Linked DNA regions of Cricetulus griseus. The protein of the gene in region 1 binds, or shares a complex with, the protein of each later gene. Links are inferred from orthologs where the notes say so. Each region holds a gene or a part of one and is shown on either strand. Other genes may lie near its edges.

Region 1 (4,285 bases):
ATGCAGAGGCCATGGAGGGGTGCTGCTTACTACTTTGTGTCCCATGACTGGCTTAGTCTATCTTCTTATAGAACCTAGGACCACCAGCCCAGAGACGACACCACAGGCAATGTGCTGGACCCTCCCCGGTTGATCACTAATTGAGAAAATGCCTTAAAGCTGGATCTCATGGAAGCATTTCCTCAACTGAGGCTCCTTCCTCTCTGATGACTCTAGCTTGTATCAAGTGGACATACAAAACCATCCAGTACAGTTCCTTAGTCCTGGAATCAAACACTAGACTTTCATGTAGAGGTATTATTTTTCTGTGAAACATCTATCACCCATGTTTCTTCTATTAGTACTTCTCCAGCAGTTAGCTCAAGAACTATTTCCCAGAAACCTTTACCCTTCCAATCTAATACAGAGAACACAGATATCCTTTAATCACACTTCACTGTAGTCTACCTGCCTGCCTTCTCTAGCAGTACTAAGTATTTTATGGATAGATTTAAGTCTATTACTGTTTTTAAGGTCTTTGCTCATAAAGAACACTTGGTATTTTTAAGTTAATAGTTGTCAGACTTCAAAGTTTTAAAGCTTAAAGCAGCAGGCTCAAAACTTTTAAACATGTAAATTGCAGATCATTTAATTATGTCATTTCATATGCAGACAGTGCATGGACTTCCAGAAGAGTGGAATACAACTGGTATTGTTGCTGGTAGAAAAATCTTAGGAGTGCATCTCTAGGAGACAGCTCCCACACTGACCTCAAGCTGTCTGAAGAACCCACTACATTAAGTTCTTAAGTTCACTTCCCTTGATCCTGATCTACTTGGCTGTTTCTTAAGTGCAGCCACCAAAAATGGGCAGCTGTTTATGGTCAGTTCTCTTGTCTTTAGGTTAAGGAGTACTTGGGGGGCGGTTACAAGGCCTAGATAGGTGTGTTTTCATGCATGTGCCTGGGTGAAGAGAAGAACTGATGTACCTGTCACTTTTACAGTTTGCAATACCTCCTTGGCTGGGTGACATTTGGTAACCACGTTCTCTTTGATCCTTCATTTTCTCAGTCCAAGGACACTTTATTTGCATGCCTGACTCCATGGTTGCATTCTTACCCAGCCTTGTAACCCCCTGGCCCAGAGGCAGAAGAGAGATATTCTACACACTTGTTCCTAAAGGAAGAAACCCTTCTGGGCTGGTCTGAAGGAACCTGGTTCGAAAGGGCATGCCCTCGACTGGACACCAGTGGACACCGAAACCGGTCTCGCAACCGCCATGCGGGCGCGTGGGGATGCAGAACAGGCGCTTAAACCCAGACCGTTTCCTCCGGCTGGAGAGCGCACCGGGGGCGAGGCACGGGGCGGGGCGCGAGCACCGAGGTGGCTTCCTGACCAATAAGCGCCGGTCAGGCGGGACCGGCGGTGGCCGCTCGGGGTGCGCGCGGGGCTGGGCGTACACGGTGACGCGCGGAGCCAGCAGGGCCAATGGGCGCAGGGTGGTGGCGGGCGGGCCCCGAGGCCTGGGGCTTTAGGAGGTGAGCGGGCCGCCGGCCGGCCTGACGCTGCTGCATCGCGGGAGGCGCATGGCGGGCATGGGGCTGGCGCGGGCCTGGAAGCAGATGTCCTGGTTCTACTACCAGTACCTGCTGGTCACGGCGCTCTACATGCTGGAACCCTGGGAGCGGACCGTGTTCAGTATCCTGTGTTGCCTGGCCTGGCCGGGGCTTGGAGGGGCACGCGCGCTGGGGGGTGGGGGTGGAGTGGGGCGGGGGTCTTAGGGCCAGGGGAGGTGAAACCGCGGAGATCCGGGTGTAGGGCGCAATTCCCCTGCCCAAGGTGGTGGCATCCTGATTTCTGCAGGCCGTCCGGAGGGCGACGTCTCCCCTGGTGCTTCCTGCCCCGCTTCGGCCGCGCCTGCCTTTTGCTTCAGTCCCCTGGTAGGAGGCAGGGATGATGCTGGTTGAGCAAATCGCTCCAGGCTTGGGCGTCTTTGACCCTTTAGCTATTCCTGATTTGATTGGCTTTGGAGCTACAGAACTCTAACCAGTTCACCAGGTTGTGAGGACGTGGTCGTGACACTCTCATACAGTTTTGGAAAGCAGTTTATAAGTTCCTGGCAGGCCTTTTTGATCTTCAAGATGGCAGTTTAGAAAGTGGGATTTATTTATGATTTCTTTGCATCGTAAATACAAACTGTGCCCGGGACAGATTTGTGGTTAGTTGTAGGTGGGGTTTCAACCTGTGCTTTGTTGTGTAGTTTATAAATAAGAACTGTTGAGTGACGACTTTGCTGAGCATTTCGTGTATACCTTACCTCACCTAATTTTGACAGCCCCAATGAACAGCTCAAGGTTGTGATGTCTGGGATGTTTGTTGGCTCCCAATGTCTATTTTGATATCCTCTGATATTATTCCTGTGGACTAAATACTAACAATGCATTCTTTCTTTCTTCCAGTCCCCTCTCCTTAATAAAATCTGAATTATTTCACATCACGTGTTCATTTCGTCAAGGCTCAGCTTTCTGATGTGGTTTAGCTTCCTTAGGAACAACTTCACACATGCACTGTTGCATTCTGATGACTGAGGTAGCGCTGGCTCTGCCTTTTATCAAGGGTGCCGGTGTTGAAGTAGCATGAAGTTGTTTGGAGCTGACTCTTGAAAAATTTTAGCTGCTTGCAAGACATTTTATTACCATTGGTATTTCTTTTCTAACCTAGAATTTAATAACCAGAATGCATATTTGGGGGTTTGGAATATAAAGTTGCTGATTTTCTGTATTGTGTGTTTTGTAGCTTTAGTTCTGTCTCTGGATTTTGTAGGTCAGGTAAAATGTACATTTAAATACATGTTTTATTGGAGCTTCTCAATAGTAGCAGGTAATCTTGACTGGAAATTAAACAATGTCAAAATAACAATAATGAAAGCCTAATGTGGTGGTTCATAACTGATTGCAACGTTCAAGAGGGTTGCTGGGAGTTCAAGGCAGCCTGGGCTACATAATACATAGCCAAGGACCAGGCAAACCAGGGTTACATAGCAAAACTCAAAGGAAGGAAGGAAGGAAAGAAAGAAAAGAAAGAAAGAAAAGAAAAGAAAATGGGGTAAAGTTTGAAACTCTTTAAGTCAGAGGTTGATGGTAAAGCTTAGTGTGGACATGTATACGTCAAAACATTTGTTGGTTTATGGATAAATACTACAGTGGCAACAATATTAAGATTTTTCTGTGCTATGTTTTAGTAGAAATAGTGTCCTGTTTTGAAGACAGAGAAATTATGAAGGGAAACCTCAGTAGATTTTGGTTTTGGTGTTTTTGACTAATTGGATCTAGCTATGCATCCAAGCTTGTGTTTGGCCAAGCTATGTGGCCAAACTTGCCTCAAACTCAAAGTCATCCTCCTCTCTTAGCCTTTTGAGTGCTGGTATGGTGTGGGCCACCATGTTTGCTGTTGTGTATTTTCTGCTGTTACCTTTGGATTTTCCTTCTGCAGGAATGGATGCTCTTTCCTAGTACCAGGGAGGGCTAACTGGATGAAACAGAATCTTAGTGAACCCTGTCTCCAAAAACAGCAGCTGTAGCAACAGCATCATTATTCGAGATCACATAGTGTAGTGGTCTTCAGACAGTTGGTGTATGTAACCCTTCAAAGGAAAAAAAGGTGGATGATGGATTCCCTTGCTCATTTATGTTGACATAGGAGTCTTGTAGATAGCTAGAAAGAATTTATTTATACATATATTTTAATACTTTTGTTAAAATTGTTTTAACAAAAATTATTTTTTGTTACTTTTTTAACTGTATACTTTTGTTAAAATGATTTTCTTACAATTCATAGAAAATGTTCATTGCATAACTGCAAAACCAGACTGCACGGTGAAGCCAATAGGAAAAAAAAAATCAGCTTTAATTTCTATCAGAAAAAAAAAGCTGCCTTTTTTTTTTTTTCCTTCTGTTCAAATTATTGTGTCCATAGCTAGATGCAGTGGTGCATGCCTGCAGTCCTAGAACTAGGGGAGGTAGCTAACCGCAGGAGCATCAGAACTTCAGGGCTAGCTTCAGCTACATGGTGAGTTTGAAGCTAGCCTTGGCTTCATAAAACCCTGTCCCCCCCAAACCACAAAACCAAACCAACCAAAAAACATTGTGTTAAAATAAACACTCCTGTTTTCCTTTGGGTGAGTAAATAGATGGCTTGGGGTTGTGCCAGATGTCTGTTATCTGAATGAAAGTAAAACCTAAGTTATTATCCCTTCTTTGCTGTGTTAGAGGTTCTATGTGTGGAGTCATGCCCCCTCCTCTCCCCAA
Region 2 (3,943 bases), on another chromosome or scaffold:
AGAACAACAGAGTGCAAGTTAGGGGAAGAAAGAGTTTCACATTGAAAAGTACAGCAGTTACTCAAAGAAATGCCTTCATTGGCAAGGGAATACCATCCTTCACATGCTTGACAACAGAACTAAAGCCAGGTCAAGCACTTCACGCAGCAAGGCCAAGCCACTCACCCGGAAACGATGTTGTAGTTGAGAGCAGGATGGTTTTTCGAGACAGGAGGGACGAGAGGTTCTGGCTGCCACTCTTCAATCAGTTCCTCCTTTTCCTACAGAAGAAAGGACATCAGAGTATGGTGTAGCCAGAGTCATCTCACACTATCTCTGGTGATGCCTGACTGTAACGCTGCAACAATGAACAATGCGCCACAGAAACACCCCTGCCAGCTGTTGTGGAGAACAAAGGCCATCCTTCTTGAGTTCTGGGTACTTACCATCCTCACCTCTTTCCTTATTACAGCTCACACCTTTTTTTTTCCATGTAGTTTCTGGGTAACCTGACAACTTAAAAATCTTATTTCTATGCCCGGGATTTCTTCCATCTTACTACACATAACACATCTAAATTCTACTTGAGATGTGAGTGTTTCCAACCCTGAATCCCCTTTCTGAAGACCACATGAAGAACTCTCCTCTAGGCCACAGGGACAACTCCTATAACCTGTGTGTAGACACTGGCATCCAGTTGCTGCTCATGCACCCCTCAAACCATCTACTAGCAGGTTGCTGTCTCCTCCAGTGTGGCTTTCCTCAAACCTTGCTTACTCAGAAATTCCATACTCCCTGCTCTCTTCACATTCAACGTTTTAACATACCCTGCAGAGATGAGTTCTAGTGCCCTACAGGGACACTATAGAAAGATGATGTAGCTGCCACATTCCTTGAATAAAACAAGCGCCATTTTTTACCTTGGCTGTAAGATCAGAACGCTCTTGCAATTTGTAGGTTTTAGAGAAAACCAGTCTGATTATCCAAAGTATTAGAATCCCCTCCAGAATAAGATGGTATGCTGGAGCCTGCAAGGGAGAAAAGCAAAAACAAAGGAAAGAAAGCAAAGAAGTCACTTGGAAGCCTGCAGGGACATTCAGCCCACCACAGCACTGCCTCTCTGACCACCACACTATTCCCACATACACCTTACTGACAGGGCTTCCTTAATGACTCTTCATGCCTCTCCACCTAAACAACTGCCAGTTACTCCATCACATGAAAAACCCCTAATACTTCAGCTTTAAAACCTTTCAGTAATGAAAATGAAAAAGAGGTAAGACCTGACACACAATCCCAACACTTAAAAACAACTCTATCACACTGTTCAGATAATTTACATTTTTATTGGCAGGGAATGACTATAACAGCACACACCTAAACACACTTCTATAGCCTTTGACTGCCCATGGATAAGTTAACAAAACTATGTGGAAAGCAGCTTCCACAATTAAATTTTGCACCTTACTGAATTTTCCATACCCTGCTAAATCTTTTTTTTTTAAAGATTTTATTTATTTATTATGTATACAACATTCTGCTTCCATGTATATCTGCACACCCGAAGAGGGCACCAGATCTCATAATGGATGGTTGTGAACCACCATGTGGTTGCTGGGAATTGAACTCAGGACCTCTGGAAGAGCAGTCAGTGCTCTTAACCTCTGAGCCATCTCTCCAGCCCCCAAGAAGTGTATCCTGCTAAATCTTCTTAAATCTTAGACAAGGAAGTGTTAAGTATGGGTGAGGTGGCAATAATAAACGCTGAAAGAAAATCCCTTCTCTTTTCTATGGTGTCACCCACAGGATGCCAACCTGTCCCATGTTGATAGGTACAAAGATATCTTAATTTTTAATGATTTTTATTACTTTATTTTCATGTGTACAAGTATTCTGTCTGCAAGTATGTCTGTCTACCACAGGTGTGCCTGGCACCCCCCAGAGACCAGAAGATTCCCCCGGAACAGGTTACAAATGACTGTGAGCCATCATGTGGATGCTGGCAATTGAATCCAGACGCTCTGGAAGAGTTGTAAGTACTATTAAATGTTGAGCCATCTTAGTAAGATGGTTTCTTGGCTATTCTACTATTTTGTCTGTGTGGTCCAACACATAGCCACTAGTCATATGTGACCACCGACATTCACACTGAAGTGCAATTACAAATTCGTTGCCAGTGCCTACTTTCACGTGGCGTTAGTGACTGCTGTGCTGAAGAGCCCCTGAGGCAGAAGACACACCAGTTCTAGAGGACATAGCAGGGAAGCTCAGTTATTCAATAAGCCAGCATTCTCCCAGGGCTGGCACCCGTAATTCCTATTTTCTTACACAGCTGAACGAAGCCACCCTAACCCTTCAAGTATTCTTTAAAACATCCTTCAAGACGTTATGCGTATAACACAGAAATTGTGGGCAGAAGAACGGCTGGTCCGTTTTCATAAATTCCCAATGATTCTGCTTCTCTGAACCACTCTCCCCCGACCGGGCAAAGTTTACAGTTTATGAAAAAGGCATCCCCCCACATCTGAGGCCGCCCACGCCCACAAACCCGGTCTCGCCATCAGTTCCAGCCGTGGTTGCGAGGACTCGCGTGTCCTCAGCACCCCTCCCAAGGGCTGCTCGCCGGAGTCCGGCGTGAGTACGGCCGAGGCTCCGTCCCCCGTGCCCCCGTCCCGGGGGCGGGAAGCACCGCGGATCCGGGGCGCAGGTCGCTAGGCCCCGGCCGCGGGCTCACGGGAGGCTCCGGCGACGGACGCACCTCGTACAGCGCCTGCACCATCTCCACCAGCACCCACTGCTCCGCCGCCATCGCCATGGTCAGACACCCGGCTTCCGGCAGGCGGGTCACAGACGCGTCAAATAGTGCGCGGCGCGGACTAGTGGCGTCACGAAACCTCGGGGGCGGGGCCGCCGGAAGTTGGGCGTTGCCTCGTCGCGCGAGTCGGTTGCTCGCGGACCCGGCCTTGGAGACGCAGGTTCGGAGCCCTGAGATTTGAATGGCGTCGCGCCGTGGACTTTTGTTGAGAGAATCAGTACGTGGCCTTTGTTCTTGACAGTCGGCTGTGCGCAGGGTTTTTAAGATAAATGATATTAGGCCGGGCGAGGTGGCGCAGGCCTTTAATCCCATTTGGGAGGCAGAGAGTTCCAGGCGAGCCTGCTCCACATGGCCTGTAAAACACCAAGCCAGCCAGGGACACAGTGAGACCCTGTCTCAAAAAATACACACACACATACACAATTAAAACAACAAGAGGGAAATATGCCCTTCCCTTTTAATAACAAGCAATGCAGTCATGCAGCATTATTAAAACAACCCACAGAAATCTACGTAGTTTCTTCCTCAGGGCGAGTCGGGAGCCCTATTTCATAATGTAGGTATGTGTGGTTATCCTCATGATGAAGTATGGTCAAAAAGCTACTGTGAAAATTTAGATGCCAAGTTTCATGTGCACACCAATTTACATTTCCTGAGACTTGTCCAGAAATACCATTGGGATAGTGATTTTATTTTAATTTTTAAAGGGGAAGAGAAGTAAATTAGGGCTGGAGAGAGAGCTCAGTCAGGAAAGAGGAACAGAGTTCAATCCCCGGCACCCACGAAAGCAAATAAATAAATAAGTAAAAATAATAATAATAATAATAACCCCCCCCCCCCCCCCGGGGCTCTCTGACGGGCTTCCTCCAAACCCGCGCACACCCAAACACTTGTTTTCCACAGAGATCCTTATTACGTGGGGAAGAAAGGTTAAAGTGGCTGCTTTCTGACTTAGGAGAAAACAGCAGCAGATGACCTTGCAGGTGTCATTGTTAAGAGGAGGAAAACGGAGGTCTGTGTTAGAATGGGCTAGGATGAGGTGGTAAGAAGATAAGGTGAAGGGTATTTGTTCCAGAGGGACAAAGGACGGCCTCTGGATAGAGAGGAGACAGACATTAACAGCATCCACTCAGCTTTCTGTGTGGAAGG
Region 3 (4,187 bases), on another chromosome or scaffold:
TGTTTTGACTCTAATGCTGAGCAGGTCTCTGTGAGGCTTTTTCAGCAGCTAGGATCATTTCTTAGATGTCAGGATCTAAAGGGCCTCTGACTCTGGGAACACTTGAGAAGCTGCCTAATTCTGCTTTGCGAAGGTCAAATGTACACTCACAACTTGCTCCCAGGGCTACCACTTCAGCCTTGAGACAACTATTTCCTGGTAGCTCCCAGAGGATGGGTGGGTCTAAGGAAAAAGCTCTCCAGGTAGTTGGGCAGGCCTTCTCCTTCCTGTCTCTGCACGCTCGGTTCATCGTGCATTTACAGCCTGCCGGTTGACATCTATTAACATCGGATCCTGTCATTCCAGCCGTGCCAGGACTTAAGGGCACGGGACTTAGAAGATGGGCGGGGAAGTGGAAACAACCGAAAGGAGGCCTTCTTGTTGACACGGACAGTGGGAGTGGCCCAGAAGAGCTTAAGACCTATTTAGTTCAGTTCCTACAATGTAATAGGTGCTTTATATTACATTCTTTTGAAACATCAAAACACCCTTGGAGGTAGGTTTTCACAGCTGTGGAATTGAGATTAATACGAGTCATTTGCTCAGGATTACACTGCCAATAAAGGCATACCTGCACTATATGTACTTAGCAGTAAAATCTGTGCCCTTCTCTTTGGAGCTTCAAGACATGAAAGTTGTATACCAGAGGCACATTACCAAAAGCCACACACGCTAACCCGAGACACAGACTCAAAGCTCCTTACTGTTCGTAAGGACTTTTCCTATGACACACATCCCAGATGAAACCCGACGCGGGGAGATCCAGGATGCGGCCAGACCCACGCCAGCAAGGATTAAATGTAGCGACCAGGTGTACCAATGATGCCCATAGCCTCCCGTCTCTACAGACAAGTACCCCAACCAAGGTTCTGAAAATGTGATCCCTAGTGGAGACAGGTGGGAGGGGCTCCATCAGGACAAAGGGCTGTGCTTCTCGGCTTCTAGAGTCTGCGACGTTTAGTGGAAAAAAAAACTCTGCACTTGTGGTCAGACTATCTCAGCAGGGTCTTATTGCAAGTTACTTAAAACTCTGAGTCTCTTGGTCTAAAAAAAACGAGAGCTTGGGCAAACCGCTTGTGCATGTCTTAAAGGGCGCAGATGCAAAAGCTGGGATTGTTACGCACCAAAGAGACTTCACCTGATCTCACTATTGCGTCAGGGAGAGAGACGTTCTGCCGTGCGTGCTCAGAAGCTCGCAGCGAGCTGGGAGAGGTAGCCCAGGGGAAAGCCTACAACTCCCAGGAGGCTCCGGGAGGGCGGGTGACGAGGCAGCGTAGAAACTACACTTCCCAAGAGGCACAACGTGTTTAGGCGCGTGGCAGTGACGTCACGAGGCCCGGCTCAGGGAGCTGATTCGGCCAGAGCTGCCAGCGGGGTGGCTACCGCCGCTGGTTTGTTACAGCTGCTGGAGTGGCCGCGGCCCGGGTTCTCGGGCTCCTCTCCCGGGCCCTCGACCTCCGGCCCCGCGCGGTGGGTCCTTACGGTCGGCCTCGGAGTGGTGAAGCCCGAAGGCTCCAGGGGTAGGAGAGGCGCGAGAGAAGGCTGCTGCTGAGGAGGCGTCCGCGCAGGAGGAGACCTGAGCTGAGTGGCTGGGGGTGGAGAGAGTGAGTGCATCAGGCGAAGGAGCGCCAAGGAAAGTGGGAGCAGGAGGCCGGGGGTGGGGTGTCCGGGAGGAGCGCTTCAGCTGGGGGTGGGAGGAGGGAACGGCTGGACTTGGAGGGATAAAGGGTTTGCTGCCTCCCGGGCTGAGTGAATGCTTGGAGATGGGGGTTGGGCCCCGAACCCGGCCAGATTCCTAGTGCGAGGTACCAACCAGGCTGCGGAGCAGAGCGGGAGACCCCATGGAAGGAGTTTCCTCGCTCCTGATTAGTGGGGCTTCGCTTTCTTTCCACCCCTCCTCTCTACTGAGTCCTGGAGTCTGGACCAGCGAGCACAACCATGGTCCTGCAGTTGAGGGTGGGCCGAGTGAAGAGACCGACGTGTTGTGTGTACTGCATGAATTCTCTGTTGGGACCCCTTGGGAACAAGTTTGCTGTGTAAAGGGCCAGCCTTAAGCCGGGGAGGGAATGGAAAGTGCTTACCGGATGGCTAGAGTGTTTGACAGCCTGGCTGGGCCTGGACGGGACAGGGAAAAGATCTATAGCAAAAAAGTGGTTCACAGAAGAGAGTTGCTTCGGGCTCTGATTTGAAGCAGGTTATGAAACAGCATCAGGATCTGGTGCTGGCAGCCACCTGCCAGCTGTGGCTGCAGAAGTTTTCAGTCTGGCTGCACCAGATCTTTCTGCCAGTCTCGTGTTTCTTCACTTATAGGAGAAAGGTCAATTGTTTACTAATGGAAGTGACATGTTCACATAGCCACAGGAAAGTCTCAGAAGTACTTTCTGGCTCCCAGTCTTTTTGGGAGTGCGTGGTGGGAGAGGCTGCAAGGGGTCTCCTGGTTTCAAGGGCATCTGGCATTCAGGCTTCAGGAAGGCGATTCCCACGGGGTCCACTAGGCTTTGTGAAATGCCCTGTTGAGCCAGAAAAGGGTGAAGGGTCTTGAAATCCTAGGATTCAGACAGACTGTTGGCACTCCTGAACAGAGAGTGAGGGGGTTCTGTCTGGCTTCGGGGAGGAGACAGCAGTTTCTGGTAAAGCAGCTCTTTTTCCTCCCTTGACCATCTTCCAGAGATTTCACATGTCACGTGGACGCTGTTGCACAGCAGCTGTCCCAGGGGCTGTGTTAGGGTAACTGGAGCCCTAAGGTTGGGGGAAGGTAAACAACTGGTTTTCTAGTTCCTTGGGTTTCTGTTGGGACCAATTATCCATCTTAATGGGCCAGGGGTTTGGTCCCAGGAGTGTGACCTCCCTCCACCAGGATGCACACTAGGCCAACTCATGGATCTGTTTGTTGGGCAACTGCTGTGGGTTCTATTTCCCGAGGTATCTGAGAAGAGGAAACTTGCTTCCATTATACTTAAGTAAGGAACTTATCTGAGGGAATTCTGGCTCCTGTGGAGGAGACTTGGCTGGAATCCTAGCTAGGTGAGATAGCATCTGAGTCTGGGGGAGAAGTGGTTGTAGCGGGATGAGGTAGCTGGTCTGGCACCTCCAGACTATATCTGCCATTCCTTTCTGTACATCTTGAAAAAGTGGAGTTGTTAAGCACAGGAATGACCTCGGGGTCTTTAGCAGGCAGGACCCTAAGCTAGGTAGGTAAACCCAGCATACCGATGCCTTCTGTATCCACCTCCTGCTGGTTAGTCAGTGGTCCCTCAGAAATCTGGAGAGAGCCAGGCTCCTGGGAAAAGGGACAGACCATTCTTCTCCCCTGTGGCTACTGCTACCATTGTTTTCTGGGCATCGAGGGCAGCCGTTTTGGTTCCTTATGCTGTAGAGCTTCTACCACTGGAGCTAGACAAGCAAAGGCTGTTGTTAATTCACACCCACAAACATGCTAGGAAGGGAGGTGAGATCAGGTGGAGCCAAGAAGGGAGGAGGTAGGAGGGAGGCCACAGGTAGTTTTGTATCCTTGGGAGGAGTAGGCTGATATGGGTACCACATCCCACCTGTGGGAACTATAGATATTGGCTGTGTGCTCTGATCTGTTCTCTTCTCTCTCTGGTGGGGTAAAGGGCTCTGCTGGTTTGGCGGCCTAATAGTGATGCCCCAAGAGTTTTAGCCTGAGCAGATGCCAAATGGCTAAAATTCCCCAATGGATGGGTCATTTTGTGTCGAAATGTTTGTAGGTCTGAGCAAAGGCCATCCCTGGCCTGCTTTTTTCTCTTCCCCCTTCTCCCTGCCCTGTCAGTTCTCCTGGGGCTGGGCTTGAGGAAATCCAGGATTAGAGAAATAGGGGTGGTGGGAACAGTAGCCCCAAAGTACTTCATCCACTGTTGCCTGTGTCCCCAGTCCTCCCTGCTTTTGCTCCTTTTGGGAGCGGCTTAGAGTAGGGGATGTCTCCTATCAGCTCTCCAGTGAGAGCCAGCAGAGGTTATTCTGAGTGAGAGTTCTGAGAGAGCAGGCCTCTCTCCTCACCCCAGGAGGAAGAGGGCCTCAGGGTACAATAGGGGGTGAGATTGGGGACTGGACATTGATTGCTATCGTCTGGACTGGACACCTCTTGGTGACTTGTCCTCCTAGACTTTGTCAGCACGTAGTCCCAGTGG
Region 4 (4,083 bases), on another chromosome or scaffold:
GCCTCCCATAGGGAGTCAACAAAGCCTGTCAAGTCAAGTTGAGGCAAAAACAAGCTTCTCCCCTCTGCATCAAGGCTGAGCAAGTCATCCCATAGTGAATGGGCTTCAAGAAGCCAGCTCATTTACCAGGGATGGATCCTAGTCCCACTGCTGGGAGCCCCACAAACAGACAAAGCTAAAATAACGAATTATTCAGGCTCTGCATGGATAATATGGACCACTTCAGTCATGTTGATGGTGAGAATTGGTAACAAAAGGAAGCCAAGGAAAAATTTGAAAACTTTTCAATTGTTTAGGAATAGAGTTCATAAAAATAAATTAAGGGCATCAAAAGTCCTCCAACCTTTACACAGATATGCTTGTGAGGAGGGAGGATCAATGGTCTTGGACAACAATATTCTAGTAGATATAGCAACACAGGACACATTGTAGAGGTAAACAAAGAACAGACTTCATCAGTGGTGAAACCACGTTTGTTTCAGTTCATCCTGGGGGCATATGGAGCTTAAAGGGGAAAGGAAGGCAAACGGATTAAGGATCAGAAAAGCTCCAGAAAGAAACTCTGGATGATTTCCAAAATGGAAATATTCTGGCTCCTGGTCAATTGTAAGGTTGGGCTACTGAGCCCACATACTAGCATCTACATTGGAACAAAGTAAATGACATTCCAAAGTTACTGCATAAAGGTGTTTACATTTTGCTTGCTGGGCTGGGAAATCTTTTGCCAACAGAATATTACAGAATAGCCAGTATGTGAGAGTGGTAACTGTATTGTATGAGTACAAAGAAGTAGAAGAAAGCTAAAGGGATCTTCACTGGAGTTGGTAGGGTTTGAGGCACTGTCCCATGAAACCTAAGTCCCAGCAAACCATTTGAAAGATCACTGACCTCAGACATCTACAAGCTCTCAGCAATTCATTTTGCCAATAGTCAAGGCCTATCTTATTAAGAGGCCCATTAGGTAAAACTTTTGCCTGAGGATCACTATAGTAAAGACAACTTTATTCATACTTTACAGGGAGAAATTAGGTCTGTTATGAGCTCAGCAGAGTTTATTATTTCAGGAAAATATTTATTAATACATAACTGAGGCTCTTAGTGGAATCCAATTACAACTTAGAAACATCTAAATATATCTTAGCAGACAGGATCTGGATGGCTTTGCAGAAAGAGTTGCTAGGGAAAGGCCACAGCAGTGACACTGTGCACTTAAAGACGTTTCCATGGCAAAGGATGTTATGGTCTTGTATAATTACAGTACCTGTGGGGTCCTACCCTTACATAGGAATGGCTGTCCTATCTATTTACTCTTTCAATGTCAAACACTAGAATATAGTTATGAAATCAAGATAAGTAAAGAAAAGGAAAACTTGTTTTGAAGGCATCTGTGGTCAAATAAGATACCCAAGAATCAGAGTAACCTAGGAGGCAAACAGTGGCTAGTGAAACAGGTATTTCAAGGACAAGGGGCATCTTAGCAATGATCTTAATGGATGAGGTATAGTGCTGTGAGTTCTCTTATGCCCTTTCTCTTCCTCCTGTTCCAGCCTGAGATTTCTGGTAGACATTTTCCAATGTCTTTTGGTAAGAGATGGATACATTTAGAGGACCATACCATTTTACCATACAAGCCAGACTTCTGAGTGCCCCTTGTACCTCCCAACTGGACATGCAAATGATTCACCGCACGGAGGCCTGACCACAGCCAACCTTCTCTGTTCTAGGTGCTTGGCACAACCTAACATTTCCCTCAGGCGAAGGCTGGCTCACTAGGATGACTGAACAAGGGAAGTTTATGTGGGGTTCTACACAAAGCTTTGCTATTTCCCTACAGTGAGACTGCCTGTCTATTCAAGCTTGTCCTCAAGGCAGGTTAGCTTACCATGTGACTTAGACTGGAGAGTCCTGGCATGCTATGTGACATGCATAATTGCTTTCCTTCAAGAACCTCACAGATTTGAGACACTCCTTTGAATGCTTTCTCGATTTTTCTCTTCCCTGGGACATCCCCTCAAATATTTTGCAATAGCACAGGCCAAAAAGGAGGGGAAATATGAAATGGAAATAAAAAGAAAATCTGTTTTAAAGAGGCTGCTTTGCTTTCCATGTGCAGAACACCCTAAACTACACCCCCTGAAGTGAGTTTTAGAAAGGAATACCGGAGGGGTCAAATTTCAAACAGAGACTCCAGTCTCTAATCAGGCTGTGGGCTATGGCAATGCTCTGTTAAACACAAAAATGTTCTTTTCAACCAGAAAGGCATTTCATGTGCACCAGGGACAAGTGTCATCGACCACATGATCTCTGCAAGATTTATGATCACTTCTTTTTTTCTCCTTAAGCATCATGAGTGTAGCAAGTTATTTGGTAGGTCCAAGAGTTTGATCTTTCACAAACTTGTCCCCTGAAATGCTTGAGAATAAATGAAAAGTTTATAAGGTCTGTATTTTAGAGAATGTGACTCTGTATGCATCTTCTCTTATCTAGAGAAGAAATTCCCTGATAGCCACATCTAAGCTTTGCAGCAGCCACATGTAACAGAATATTAGCTGAAGTGCAGAGCCAACACAATAAAACATCTCATGAGAGAAACTTGGAGTAAAGATTGCCTTAAACTGTGTTGCTAAGAAATATGGAAATACTTGGGTCATACAGATTAAGGATGTAGGAGACCACTTCTTACCTGGGCTTCTTTGGCGATTCCATTTTTCACACAGTCAGTGCTTTGCCATTTGCTGTGCTGAGTCTTGGGATTGTGGAGAGTTCCATTAGTAACAACACTACCCCTTAGACTGGCCATTGGTGGGAAGCTCTGCAGCCTAGCAGGTTCTCTCTCAGAGATCTCCTGAAGCTTCAGTTTTCAAGGAGCTGGAGTGATGACATAAAGCACTTTGGGGTTGAGCCTTTAAAGGAATCCTACCAGTCAGGCTTTTCTAGAAGAAGAACCACAGCCTATCTATTGGCTGGATCTTTAGTGGTTACCTTTTACTAGTCCACTCCAGTGGCATTGTGGGTTCCATGGCAACAAACCTGCTTCTGAAACTACAAAGGAATTTGCTCTGTTGGCTGCTCTTGGAAGCAGAGGAAACCAGGGGACAGAAAATTCCAGGAACAAATATTGGGGAGGCAGGCTGAGAGGTAGAGAGACATTTAAAGATTTTTACAGCACCCTCATAGAGTTCATGGTACTGAAGGGCTGGTTACAAGTTTTTCTCCTTCTTGCATCCTCTGCCCTTCACATATAGTTACATTTTTTTTCACTGAAAGCTAAGCTTAAAACTTAAGATTTCTTTGTGCCAGAAAATAATTTTCATGAGTGACTGCTAGGGGAGGAAGGGGCACAGTGGTGGGGGGGTTGTTGTCTAACAGGTACAAAGTTTTAGTTGGGGTGGAAGAGACACTTGTGGTCATGGGTCATTGAACAGGATGAGTATATATAATGTCACTGAACTGTATAAGTAATGTGTCTCAAATGGTCAATATTCTATCATTTGCCCTGGTGAATGTTAAAATCACAACAGCAATATTTACAACCCACATATAAACATATGCACTATATAACATAACATACAAAATGATGAAGAGTCCCAGACCACTAAAAAATTCAAGACAAACAAAGTCAGTAAAACAGAACATTCTGATTCTTACCAATAATGCATCATTTTTTAATCACATGACCTTAGAGGAACCATTCACCTTCTCTATGTCTCAGTACTTCTGTCTATAAAATGAGACACTGTATTTGGTGAATTGGCATATGTAGAGTAGTAAGAAATGATACTTGATTTTGCCACTGACTCTTTTGTTGTGAGGCGTATGCTGACCATAGGGTCCTAGTCCACAAATACCTCTGGCTTACTCATTATCCATTATTCTCTCAATACAACAATTGTTATCAAAGGGCATTGTGGTTTATTGGTCAATACCAATAGTTTACAGCTGGTTGAGCATTTCTTAGCTTACCTTTGTGATTTTCCTCTGTTGATATAAAAAAATCCTATCTGAAACTAAAGGCCTTAAGAGTAACACTCTAGGCTATGGTGGCACAGACCTGTGATCCCAGTATTGGAGAGCTAGGGGCAT

The links. The genes of interacting proteins can lie anywhere in the genome.
Region 2: serine palmitoyltransferase small subunit A (region 1) and Sptlc1 share a complex: the UniProt entries of both Homo sapiens proteins name them as parts of the serine palmitoyltransferase (SPT) complex. The link is inferred for Cricetulus griseus from reciprocal best matches to the Homo sapiens genes SPTSSA and SPTLC1.
Region 3: the proteins of serine palmitoyltransferase small subunit A (region 1) and Ormdl3 are in contact, whole or in part, in a cryo-EM structure (PDB 7CQI), measured with the Homo sapiens proteins. The link is inferred for Cricetulus griseus from reciprocal best matches to the Homo sapiens genes SPTSSA and ORMDL3. Residues at the interface, in NP_612145.2 of Homo sapiens: Ile44, Tyr50, Thr51, Val54, Phe55; in NP_001307730.1 of Homo sapiens: Val36, Leu38, Ser39, Ile40, Pro41, Phe42, Ser44.
Region 4: serine palmitoyltransferase small subunit A (region 1) and Sptlc3 share a complex: the UniProt entries of both Homo sapiens proteins name them as parts of the serine palmitoyltransferase (SPT) complex. The link is inferred for Cricetulus griseus from reciprocal best matches to the Homo sapiens genes SPTSSA and SPTLC3.

Annotation. Positions count from the first base shown.
Region 1 is NC_048598.1:147,641,315-147,645,599, forward strand, and holds the start of serine palmitoyltransferase small subunit A, read left to right. Parts: upstream 1-1,485; 5' UTR 1,486-1,564; coding exon 1,565-1,676; intron 1,677-4,285. UniProt on the Homo sapiens protein: Component of the serine palmitoyltransferase multisubunit enzyme (SPT) that catalyzes the initial and rate-limiting step in sphingolipid biosynthesis by condensing L-serine and activated acyl-CoA (most commonly palmitoyl-CoA) to form long-chain bases.
Region 2 is NC_048596.1:272,312,263-272,316,205, forward strand, and holds the start of Sptlc1 (serine palmitoyltransferase 1), read right to left. Parts: upstream 2,801-3,943; 5' UTR 2,795-2,800; coding exon 2,738-2,794; intron 1,008-2,737; coding exon 900-1,007; intron 261-899; coding exon 166-260; intron 1-165. UniProt on the Homo sapiens protein: Component of the serine palmitoyltransferase multisubunit enzyme (SPT) that catalyzes the initial and rate-limiting step in sphingolipid biosynthesis by condensing L-serine and activated acyl-CoA (most commonly palmitoyl-CoA) to form long-chain bases.
Region 3 is NC_048600.1:111,720,983-111,725,169, reverse strand, and holds the start of Ormdl3 (ORM1-like protein 3), read left to right. Parts: upstream 1-1,387; 5' UTR 1,388-1,643; intron 1,644-4,187. UniProt on the Homo sapiens protein: Plays an essential role in the homeostatic regulation of sphingolipid de novo biosynthesis by modulating the activity of the serine palmitoyltransferase (SPT) in response to ceramide levels.
Region 4 is NC_048599.1:39,315,079-39,319,161, forward strand, and holds the start of Sptlc3 (serine palmitoyltransferase 3), read right to left. Parts: upstream 2,801-4,083; coding exon 2,684-2,800; intron 1-2,683. UniProt on the Homo sapiens protein: Component of the serine palmitoyltransferase multisubunit enzyme (SPT) that catalyzes the initial and rate-limiting step in sphingolipid biosynthesis by condensing L-serine and activated acyl-CoA (most commonly palmitoyl-CoA) to form long-chain bases.